3 linked regions of the Cricetulus griseus genome follow. Each later gene encodes a partner of the first gene's protein in a complex. Links are inferred from orthologs where the notes say so. Each region holds a gene or a part of one and is shown in the gene's direction. Other genes may lie near its edges. The genes, in order: Arpc3, Arpc5 and Arpc2.

Region 1 (4,297 bases):
TCCCCTGAGAGGAGGGAATTCATTTTCTGTTTTGTCTTTCTTTTGTGTCAGGAACAGGAAGAAGAGTCTTCCTCCATGTTTGACGAATATTTTCAAGAACGGCAGAATGAGTGAGGTTGACTACACAGTGGCCATCTGATTGTGACCCTAGGAATGCTTTTGGAAGAGGTGACCATGGGAAGCAGCTGCTTGTAAACAATGCTGGTCTCTCCCTGGAGTGAGCCTGGATTGTGCTCTGAGCTCTGAAACCACTACTCTTTCAAGAAGAGATTTTATTCTGACAGCATCATTTTGGATTTAAAAAAATTGAAGTAACAATTTATGCAGAGACTTTATATAATATAAATCAACCTGCCCTACACATCTCTTGTTCTTGTGTGTGTGTGTGTGTGTGTGTATGTATGTGTGCACACTCCAGTGCACTTGAGTCTAATTTTAATTTTATTTACAGTTGGATTTTTGTTTTTTGAGGGATTTTCTTTTGATTGATTTGTTTGTTTTTGAAGAGGTACAATTATTGTAACAAAACATATCTCCAAATGAAAAAATATTGGAAGGGTATATATACATGAATCTTATTTTCCCAAATCAAACATTATTTATACAATTAAAAATTAAAACTGTGTTTTGAGATATGTATTTATGAATGTATGTGTTGGAAAGAAATAGGTCCTCCCTTTTTTTGTATTTTGAGAGTGTTTCTCTGTGTAGTCCTGACTATCCTGGAACTCACTCTGTAGACCAGGCTAGCATCGAACTCGGAGATCCCCTGCTTCTGTTTCCCAAGTGCTGGGATTAAAGGCAAGTGTTACATGGATGGGCAGTGGTGTTGCACTTTACTCCCATGGTGGTCCCTGACTGTCTCAATGTGACAAGGAAGACAGGGAGATGAAACACCACAAGTAGACATCATAAAACTGAGCAACCAGGAGTGATGGGGACCACACCTGTGATGCCAGCATAAAAGTATTCAAGAGGATGGCTCATAAATTCAAGACACATGTATCCAGTTTGAGACCAGCCTGGACATTGTAAGAATCTTCCACAAGAAAATAAAAATAGGGACTGGAGAGATGGCTCAGCAGTTAAGAGCACTGACTGTTCTTCCAGAGGTCCTGAGTTCAATTCCCAGCAACCACATGGTGATTCACAACCACCTTGAATGAGATCTGGCGCCCTCTGCTGGCATGCAGGCAGAAGACTATAATAATAAAATCTTAAAAAAGAAAAGAAAAATAAGGGCCGCCGAGATGACTCAAGTGCAAAGGTACCCGGAGACCTGAGATCGGTGCCCAGAGTCCCCATGGTGGAAGGTGAGCACCAACTTCGACTCCCCACGTGGGCTGCGGTAAAAATAAAAACTTGACAGTGGAGGAGGATAAATCAGGGAGCTGAGTGGTACCGGATTTGAAACAGGCCAGGGAATTTAAAAAAAAAAAAGCGGGAGGTGATTATTAACCTCTGAAGGACTCTTTAATTGTAAAGCTGCGTGCGCGCGTTTTATGAATGCGCTACACACTCAGCCTATTGCTCGCACATCCCTGGCGTCCTTTCCGGTCAGAGCGGTCGCAGCAACCGGGAGGCGGAAGCTAAACCGGAAGTGCATCTCTTCGCTTCGCCCGCCTCTTCCGGCTCACTTCCGCCCACTCCACCCAGGTTCGCTGGCCGGAAGCGTTCCGCTTTACCTGGGTCCTGCTTCTCTGGATCGAATCCGGACACCTCCAAAATGCCGGTAAGGCTTCGAGCCCCGAGGGTGGAGAGGCGAGCGGGGCAAGGGCCAGAAGAGAGGCGGGAGGCCGCGGTAGAAGTCCGGGGAGAGAGAAAACAGCTGCCCTGCTCTCCAGCCCCAGCCCTTTGCTCCAGTCCTTTTCTCGCAGGGCTGCTTTCTTCCTAGTCCTGCAGTGTTCCCAGATCCCACCCGAGAGCCTCGAAGTTAAGAACGACGGCTTTTAACTTATTTTTAAATCTAGGGTCCAGCTTCCCCTTTTCTCTCCCCGTTGTCACTTCCACTTCCTCCTCCGCCCCATGGAGTGGGTCAGCCTGCTGCTAAACACCTGTCGGGCTTCGCTTCCCTGACCGATCCCTACCTCGTTCTCCCTGCTGTAGCTCCAGACCACGATCGAGACAGCGCTGGTTTCTAGGAGTTTTCTTTTTCGTGTGCTTTCGAGTGGGAGGAAAAATTGGTGATGGGCGATGTGTCTTGACATTTGACTGCCGGTCTCCATCATGGGTTCTGTTTTGCAGATTAGTAAAGGGATGCGTGAATAAATCCACATTGGACAAGCATCCCTGAACTCTCACTAGGAAACCAGCACTGTTAACAGCAGCTACCAAGGCCTGCTCAAGGAGCTTACAATTAAACCGTCAGGGGAAGGAACTCGTCTGCAATTTCAGAGCTGGGAAGGGTTAGAGATCCCTGAGGCTCCTTGTCCCAAAACTAAAGTGGAAAAAGCAGTTGTGGAAGAGACCTGGCTTCCATGTGTAGATGTACACATACACCTGCATGCACACATGAACACTTATACACTACACACAAACATGCATGAGTGATGTATGGACATGTGCAAAGAAGAAAACCAACACAGTACCCCATGACAGAGAGGGCACCAGGCTGGTGTAGATACGGTGTACTTGGGTCAAAAAGGAGAGCAAGTGTAAGTTTCAGCTCTGTGTATGTGTTTTAGCAGTGCTGGGAATTGAACCCAGAAACTCATGGCAGGCTATATAGATCCTCTACCACTGAGCTATATCCCCTCCTCCTTTTTACCCTATTTTGAGGAAGGGTCTCATAAAGTTGCCCAGGCTGGCCTTGAACTTGTGATGCTCCTGCCTCAGCTTCCCAAGTAGCTAGGATCACAGGCCTGCATCACCAAGTTCAGCTTTGTAAGGTTTATGAGTCTTGATGAGTCTTAGAGTTGCTGAGTGTATGTGGAGACCCAGGGTTACTGTCCAGATGAGACCTTCATTCCCAGGATGACACTATGAAGTAGATGTCCTTATTGTGATGGTTTTGCTGAAGGAACTAGGGCTCAGAGAATTAATGTGACTTGTGCAGTGTTTCTCACAAGAAGTGAAGCCAGAGTTTAAGCCAGAAAGGAAAGCTCTGTGCTCATTCCAGTTGGACACAGAAAGTTCTGGACTTAACCTATGATAATTTATTTTATGTCTGCTTTCTCTGTTAGCATGAAATATCACATGTGTGCCTATATATGTGATATTTGTGTGATATATGAGATCTCATGTCAGGGCCTAGAGAGATGGCTCGGCAGTTATGAGTGCTTGCTGCTGTTAGAAGCACATATACTTGGTGTCACACAAAGAAACACATAAACAAAGCAAAAGCAACTTAACAGCAATTTTTTTCCAAAAAAAACCCAAAAGATGTACCATGACCTGGACACAAACAGAGTTAGCAAGCACAATGGGATGGGGTGGGTAGTTCACATAGTTTTTATTCTCACTCAAGTAGTGACTGTGTCTTTCATGACTATCTAGTTTTAAAAGAGTCTTCACGTAGGAAATGAAGGGTACGGGAAAGGGTCAGCCCCTTGGGCCACCAGGTTCTAGCAATGTAGCAATGCCTTTGGATAACAGAAGTGGTACCAGGTGGGGAGATTAAAAGATATGTGGAGGTGCTGGGCGGTAGTGATGAATGCCTTTAGTCACAGGCAGATCTCTGTGAGTTCGAGACCAACCTGGTCTACAAAGCTCCACTGAGAAACCCTGTCTCAAAAAACCAAAAGAAAGAAAAAGAAAATGTGTGGAGAGATGGCTTAGGGATTAAGAGCACTGGCTGCTCTTCCAGAGATTCTGAGTTCAATTCCCAGCAACCACATGGTGGCTCACAACCATCTATAATGGGATCTAATACCCTCTTCTGGCATACAGGCATACAAAAAAATAGAAATAAATTTAAAAGTTTTAAATGTACATAAAAGATTTACTAGGTGGGGCAGATTGGCTCTTGAAGGGCTAGCTACCATTGACATCAGAAAAGCCCTATTCTCACACTGCTCTTAATAGAGCACTAGAATTTTGTTCCCAGCATCCATATCCATCAGCTCACAACAGCCAGGTCCAGGGAACCCAACAACCACTTCTGAAACACTCTGGGCACTGTATACACATAGAAATCCCCATACATAGACACAATACATATACATAATTAATACATTTGTTTGTTTCTGGTTTTGTTTTGAGACAGGGTTTCTCTGTGTAGCTTTTTTTTGGAGCCTGTCCTGGCACTCACTCTGTAGACCAGTCTGGCCTCGGAACTTACAGAGATACATCTGCCTCT
Region 2 (3,934 bases), on another chromosome or scaffold:
TTTGTGAAACCAGGTAAGCCTGCATCCAAGCAGGCACAGCCAAGCGCCGGAATTAATTTTATTCTATGAATGCTTATACTACAGTATAATACACAGAGCACAGCTATTATTTCTTCAATCTTAGTGCCTCTCCCTCAGTAAGAGCTCTGATCTCACAAACGGGGATGTAGGCTATAACAACTCACAGGCAGGCTCCCAGGAACCTTAAACCATAAATATCCACCTTGAAAGTCCAGTTCCTATTGATCCTTGCACATGTTGTTTTCCCTCAGCACTGAAGAGCCTAACTCGCCCACCCTCTTCTGGCATTCTTGCTCCAAATAACTACTTATTTTTAAGATGTGATGACGGATTCTACAAAATGCTACAAGTTTGCCCCAATTTCGCCACCCATCCCCAGCTCCGGCCCAGGCGAATTTCCCTCCCTCCGGATGGAGAGAATACCGAGTTTAGATTCTGCAGGTCCGGCAGCGATGCTGTCTGTCACACAGCGCTGACAGGTAAGAAGTGACCTCTCGACTCCGTCCTTGGGGATCTCCCGCCGACAGAGCGGCGGGATCCCAAACCCGGGAAGGGGCTCTCAGCTCAGGAACGCAGCCCCTGGCGGCGCTCGGTCCGAAGGGAGGGCTTCGATCACTAGTTGTGTGCTGGGCGCCCAGCGGAGCATCACTCCGCCTCATACTCCTGCTGACTGCAGGGGACTAGGTCCTGCAGCCAGTCCATGCCACCCCACGCCCGAGTCCGGTCACCCAGACCTCACACCGGACCCCAACAACAAGCCTCTGGCACCGACAGCAGCGGCGGCGGTGGCGGCGGCAGCAGCAGACCAGGCCACGCGCCCCAGGTGCCCATAGCCTCCAACCCAAGACCCCCCGCAAGGCTGGACCGCAGAAAAGCGTTTCTATGGGAACCTCCCGGGTGTCACGTGACGTTCCCGGCGGCCAATCGCGTCTCCCCGCCGCTTTCTGTCCGCCCGCCGCCCCCGCCTCCTTCATCGGCCCCGCCCCTTCCCTGCAGCGGGCCTGCGCGTGCGCGGTGCTTCCCGCGCGCTCCCTGGCGGACGCGCGCTACCCCGGGGACCCGGGGACGCGGGGGCGGGGCGGGGGCTGAAGGAGAGCAGCTCGGCGCTGAGGAGGAAGCGGCGCCCGGCTAGCGCGCAGGCCCAGAAGCGAGCAAGCAGCGGCTACCGGCGACGCCCCAGAGCGGAAGAGGGAAGTGAGCCGCGCCGGGCTGGGCTCGCGAAAGGCAAGAGGCACCGCGGAGGGAAGGCCAGCGTCGCGTCGCGATCCGGGATGTCGAAGAACACGGTGTCGTCGGCCCGCTTCCGGAAGGTGGACGTGGACGAATATGATGAGAATAAGTTCGTGGACGAGGAGGACGGCGGCGATGGCCAGGCCGGGCCCGACGAGGGCGAGGTGGACTCTTGTCTGCGGCAATATCCTTGTTCTCGCGGAGATCGGGGGTCGGGGGCCGGGCGGACGCGTGGCACTGGGTGGGGATGGAGGGCAGGAGCTCCCGGGGCCGTGCTCGCGAACTTGCGGGCGCCCGGATTCCTCAGGTGCGCCGCCCCAGCGGCCGCGCCCTCGCGGGGGACCGGCCGGCGCCCTAGTGGGCACCTGAGCTCCAGAAATTGATGCCTGGTGGGGACTCGGGCGTCCCGCTTGGAGTCCGCTTTTCTGTCGGGCGTGTGGTTTGCAGAACGGTGAGATAGTTAATTCCTAGCCCGGTATTGAGGCCCCTGGTACATTCAGCCCATGGGCTTTTTCATCATCATCATCATCACTGTTAAGAGAAAAGGATTTGGCACATAATTCATTCGCACAGGGCGAAGGGAGTTTTCTTCTCCAAAATTCCCCTTTAAAGCGTGGAGCCTTTAACTGCTAAGAAAAAAGCCAATAGGAAAAAGATAGGGAATGCATGTGGTGAATCCCTGAAAATCCTTAAGATAAATCCCAGTGAATAAAAAACAGAGGATGAGTCGGTTCTAGAAACCAAAATCGTTTTTCTGAAATTGTTTCCATTCGAATTAATATATGGCTGTCAGTTCCTGATTCCTTAGGTTTGCATATCTGAATATTCATAACCCTGAAATTCATTTGCATCGATCTCTTAGGAAAATAGAAATGTTGCAAATTGTAGCTTTAGAAAAATCGCTCTCGTTAAGTCTGTTCATACAGCTCTTTCCTCGTCAATTTTCTACTGGATTATAATGAAGCAATAAATAAGTGAACAAAAATAGTGATAACTACAACATTGAACATACATATAGGTTTCACTTTCACATCAGTTGCTACTAACTTGATTACTTATTTAAATACTTGGGCTTTTTTTTTCTTTAAAAAGGTGTTCTTTAGAAAACCATGCACCCTTGAGAGTAGTTTATCACCAACTGTAGGTAATTTTTATTAGACCTTTTCTGTAGAAGTGGTGAGCATTACTCTTTGAAAAAAATCTTTATGATGGGTATGTGATATTTTATTAAAATAATGTATTTTAGGAAATTTCTGGCGACTCCTATTTCTGTGTCCATTATCAGTTGAGTCTACTTTTTCCTCAACCCATCTTAAAATATAAAGATACAGTTTCTCGTTATAACTAGGAGATACAGCCCTGTACTACATACAGACGGAGGAACAAGTGACTCTGTGGTTTTCCTTTTAGGGAAATGACTGCCTATTCTGACTGTCTGATTGGTTTTCCGTTTCCCATGCTTGCTAACTCACTAGTGCTTTCAGAGCCTGATTGAATAGGTATGAATGGTCCAGCCCAGTTTCGAATAACCTGTAGGAAAAAAAAAAAAAAAGTAGGCTGCCACCTACAGGTTATGTGGATTATTACAGCTTCCGTAGCCCTGCTCATCAATATTAAGCTATTGCCTGTTCCGTTCCTATTGCCAGAGTAGTCAGCCAGCATTTCGGTAATATACAGTGTAGTTTCAATATAAGGTTTAGGGTTGTTTTCCAATAAGAATTAGACACAAATAAGATGGTATACTTTGTTTGCTGGTATTGGTTTGTAGGCTGCTTCCACTGGTAACCTAATAATTCTGATGCAAATTATAAGGTTTCTTGACTACCTATCTAGACAATTGTGTGTATTTCACTAGAAAGTGTAATCTCTTTGATGGGACCAAGGTCAAGGTATCTTTGCTTTAAAAATAATTCCTATATTCTCTTAATTGATTTTAACCTTTGATTGACATATTGGAAATAAACGGATGCAGTTTCTAATATTGAACATAACGTCCATAGTAATTTTTGTTACTATAGAAAGTCAAGTCTTAAGAACCAGTAGTGCTGTAAAGCAGGGGCTGTCCTTTGTTGTTATCCCCTTAACCGTCATTACAGGAAACATGACAGCTGCACTCCAGGCGGCTCTGAAGAACCCCCCTATCAACACAAAGAGTCAGGCAGTGAAGGTGAGTTGCTGGCTACAGCATTAGTCTCTTCCATGTCTCACTGTTCTTACCGAAATCCTTGACACAAGACTTTACTATGTGAATTTTTTGTTTATTGTTTTTTTCTTTTGAGATTGGGTCTAGATGTATAACCTGGCCTAGAACTAACTCCCAGAGATCTCCTGCCTCCACTTGGATTAAAGGCATATGCCACCACATCCAGTTTAAAAGGAAATTCTTGATAAGTAAAAACATCTTACAAAAAATAGCAGTGAAATGTAGAGTTGGGATAATGTGGTGTAGAACACAGTCAATTTAAAGGATGGAGAAATCAGTTCTGTTAATTATGTTAATATTAAATATTATGGAAGACAAAGATATGATCATAAGCATAAAAAGATGATCACCATGCTCCTTCCTTGGGTCAGTTACTGCCTTTGGTATTGCTGCATGCTTAAAGAGTTTCTACAAGGGTTTATATTCTTTAAAAAAAAAAAAGTCTTATAATTCAACTGTATAACAATGTGCAAGAACTTA
Region 3 (3,721 bases), on another chromosome or scaffold:
CTTGTTTGCTAAATGTGAAACAAACTAGCATCATTTGAATTAACTGCTAGCAAGTTGTTAATACAGTAGAGTTTTCTGTCGGTGTTGAAGAGAAAGATAGACTATGACTTTTCACTGGGGTTTAATTTAGTTGACTAAAATATGAAGTAGCTCAAGGCCTGTTTGTGAAGTAGCTCAAGTTCTGCAAGATCAGTGAGATCTTTTGTATTCTCTCATTTTATAAATGAGATAAGAAAAAGGATATAAGAATTCTTATTTGTCCCTGAGCATAAGCCTAGTAAGAAAGATAAAATTGGAAAGCAGATGCTTTGACTGTACTTGATTTTTTTTTTTTTAATTTTGTGCCATGCTTCTGTGTAAGACCTGAGTTAGAACAAAAGTAAGGTAGAACCAAAGCAGGCTTGATGGAGTGTGGCAGGTACTTTGATGATGCAAGGAAGGAGCTAGGCGGTGGTGGAACACGCCTTTAATCCCAGCACTTGGGAGGCAGACAGAGGCAGGTGGATCTCTGGGAGTTGGAGGCCAGCCTGGTTTGCAAAGTGAGTTGCAGGATAGCCAGGACTGTTTGTTGCACCACAGAGAAACCCTGTCTCGAAAAACAAAAAAATCAAACAAACAAAAACTACAAGGAAAATTGCATAGAAAGGCTTAAGAATGTTCTTTGGTATGGTATGACTTCAAATAATCCTTTCACCTTAAACACAGTAGAACCATTCTATATTATTACACTTAGCCATATTTGTGTATGTTACTTCCATAGGCACTATCCTATGGGAGGAGGCATTGATCAGAATGAGCACTAGCTGTGGCAAGCAGTTGAATAACAGTTGGAAAACACAAGCTGTAGGTGTCCTTTGTCTAATCCTCCACCTTAAGCAAGTCTAAAGATTCAGGCCCATGAGAGAATGAATGTGTATTCTCTTATCTTTAAGCCTTGAATTTATATAGAATGCTTCAGTCTTAAGTAAAAATCGGTGCTGGAGAGATGGGTCAGCAATTAAGGTCACTGACTGCTCTTCCAAAGGTCCTGAGTTCAATTCCCAGTAAAAATCAGGAGCCTTTTCAAGTCCCCCTAAAAGACAGCAACAGTAAAATTATTTCCCCCACTTACATTTGATCTCTTTATTTGTGTATATGTGTGGATGTACATGTCCAGCTTGTATTTGGAGGCTAGAAGACAACACGGAAGAGGCAGCTCTCTGCCTTCACCCTAGGGATCCTACAGATCCACCTCAGGTCCGAGGTCATGAGGCCTAGCTGGCAAGTGTCCCCATCCACTAAGCTATCCTATCCTAAAATTACCTTACTAAGGGCCTTTTTGTTGTTTTACAGAAACAAACCAGAAGCTGTAGAAGTAACATTTGCAGGTAAGTGTCTTATCTCATCTCTTTTTAAGAGAGGGTATAATAGAAAAGAAAAAATTGATGTATTGGTGTTTTGCCTGCATCTGTGCTCCATGTGTGTACCTGATGCCCAAGGAGGCCAGAAGAAGGCATCAGCTCTGGAACTAGAGTTGCAGAATATTATGAACTGCCAAGCAGCTGCTGGGGATTGAAACTGGTCCTTTGAAAGAATAGCCAGTCAGTTCTCTTGAACACTTGAGGCAGCTTTACATTCCTGAAAAGAAAAGTTTTGATTGTCAAGTTTTTGAGTCTTTCGAGGACTGTTTCTTGTTACAACATTGCTAACTGACTTTGGGGTTAGGTAAACTATGTACTTTACATATCTTAGTGGATGGGGCACTCCATATCTTAGAAATTTGGGGTTTGTTTTATACAAAGAACCTTCTTTTTACTTTGGAAGTCTACAGAATTATAATCTTGTAGCTATCATATAAGTTTGCCTAGCATTTGGGAGAGGCAAGGTAAGAAGGTGCTGGAGCTTGTTTGTCAAATCAAAGCAGTAGTGTTTCTTCCATTCCCTTTTGTCCAGGCATGGTGGCACAAGTCTTAAATCCCAGCCAGCACCCAGGCAGGTAGAAAGTTCCAGGCTGACCAGAACTACATAGTGAACCCTGTTTAAAAAAAAAAAAAAAAAAAGAAAGGGGGGAGGGGGCTGGTGGGAGGTTGGGGGAAGGGGAGGGAAAAGGAGAAGGGATTGACATGTGACACAAGCTTGTTCCTAATTTGAACTAATAAGTAATAAAATAAAAAAAAGAATTGGCTATTCATATGTGACCCTGGAGATTTTACAGCTAAGTGCCATCTAGAAAGACAAGTGCTTGACTAGATCATCTCAGAAGACTTGCCGCCTAAGGCCCTAAGGTGGTTACCATCTGTGCCTCCTAGTCACTAGCAGTACCAAGTCCTCATGGTTCTTGTGGTTCCTGTGCAAGTTCTCTGTGATCTGGACCTCCGTGCCTAGCTTTTGCAGTGATACAGATGAGCTCATCTCACTTTGTAGGACAGGAAGAGAGAACCTAAAAAGAGGATAGGCCAAGAGATTAAAACAGACTTACAAGATAATCATCTATGTTGTGTTGATCTTGTTTAGATCCTAGTTAGAATATTTAAGACAAGAATGTTTATAATTTTTTTGAGACAATAGGTAATAGTTGAATAGCTTACCAGGTATATCTCCCAAAGATACATCCTGAAGTATATATTGATCAAATGTTGCATCTGGAGTTTGCTTTGTAGTGAATTGGGGTGGGGGCAAATACGTTCTGACAAAAGGGCCGTGTGCTGATCAGTATTCATGCTGCATGGGTGGATATCAGTTTGTTTATAGCTCTTTCTCCTGAAAATGTGTCACAATGAAAGTTTTTGTAAGGTTATTTTAGTACAAACTGTGGATGCAGTAAAAATAGCTTTGTAATTTTAAGTAAGACCAAAGATATGGCCACTGAGCAGTTAATTCCTCAGCAGCTTTTCTGTTGGCTCCCCAGTGAAATCAAACGAGCATCATTTACTTACATGCTCTCTTATCAGAGGTCTCGTAGCCAGCCCTCTGGTGGGTGCTAGGAGATTGCTCCCGTTTCTAGAGTAAGCAACCTTACTTGCTTTTTCACAGATTTTGATGGTGTCCTTTACCATATTTCAAATCCTAATGGAGACAAAACAAAAGTGATGGTCAGTATTTCTTTGAAATTCTACAAGGAACTTCAGGCACATGGTGCTGATGAGGTAAGCCCACATTGGTTTCCTTGGGACTCTTATTTTCCCTTCACCTTCTGTTGGCCCCTTGCTGCCCAGAGAATGGGCCAAACTACTCTTACAGACGGAGGGGACTTTACACAGCTAACTGAGGAAGGACTCCGTTTCCCACAAGGATGTGAAAAATATTTTCCAAAGAAGATTTTGGCACTCTGCTTGTTTGCTTTTAAACTTGGAGAAATAATGATGTTCCCTAAGGAAATTTTTAAAGCTTTTTTATAAAAAGGATCTCATGTAGCCCAGGCTGGCCTTAAACTTCTCATGTGTTTGAAGAAGTCCTCAAATTCCTGATCCTTCTGCCTCTACCTTCAAAGAGCTAGGATTACAGATATGTACCACCACACCCAACTCAGGATTTTATTCTTTCCAAATTATTAGGTTATCCAAATTTTACAAAATAATGAAAACAGAACAGTTAATCCTCCAGTAACAACAGAGAATATTTTCTTAACTAGTACAAAAATAGTTATGGTAACCCTAAATAAGACAGGTTTTGTTCCGTATTAAAATCTTATCAAGCATGAAATTTGTGGCATATTAAACCTCATAATCTTCGTTTTAGTTTT

Evidence for each region.
Region 2: Arpc3 (region 1) and Arpc5 share a complex: the UniProt entries of both Homo sapiens proteins name them as parts of the arp2/3 complex. The link is inferred for Cricetulus griseus from reciprocal best matches to the Homo sapiens genes ARPC3 and ARPC5.
Region 3: Arpc3 (region 1) and Arpc2 share a complex: the UniProt entries of both Homo sapiens proteins name them as parts of the arp2/3 complex. The link is inferred for Cricetulus griseus from reciprocal best matches to the Homo sapiens genes ARPC3 and ARPC2.

The regions. Positions count from the first base shown.
Region 1 is NC_048597.1:102,222,155-102,226,451, forward strand, and holds the start of Arpc3 (actin-related protein 2/3 complex subunit 3), read left to right. Parts: upstream 1-1,487; 5' UTR 1,488-1,726; coding exon 1,727-1,732; intron 1,733-4,297. Other genes in the region: Gpn3 (GPN-loop GTPase 3), read left to right, coding at 52-114. UniProt on the Homo sapiens protein: Component of the Arp2/3 complex, a multiprotein complex that mediates actin polymerization upon stimulation by nucleation-promoting factor (NPF).
Region 2 is NC_048598.1:38,870,569-38,874,502, reverse strand, and holds the start of Arpc5 (actin-related protein 2/3 complex subunit 5), read left to right. Parts: upstream 1-1,134; 5' UTR 1,135-1,292; coding exon 1,293-1,435; intron 1,436-3,345; coding exon 3,346-3,418; intron 3,419-3,934. UniProt on the Homo sapiens protein: Component of the Arp2/3 complex, a multiprotein complex that mediates actin polymerization upon stimulation by nucleation-promoting factor (NPF).
Region 3 is NC_048595.1:427,485,029-427,488,749, forward strand, and holds part of Arpc2 (actin-related protein 2/3 complex subunit 2), read left to right. Parts: intron 1-1,332; coding exon 1,333-1,367; intron 1,368-3,012; coding exon 3,013-3,125; intron 3,126-3,721. UniProt on the Homo sapiens protein: Actin-binding component of the Arp2/3 complex, a multiprotein complex that mediates actin polymerization upon stimulation by nucleation-promoting factor (NPF).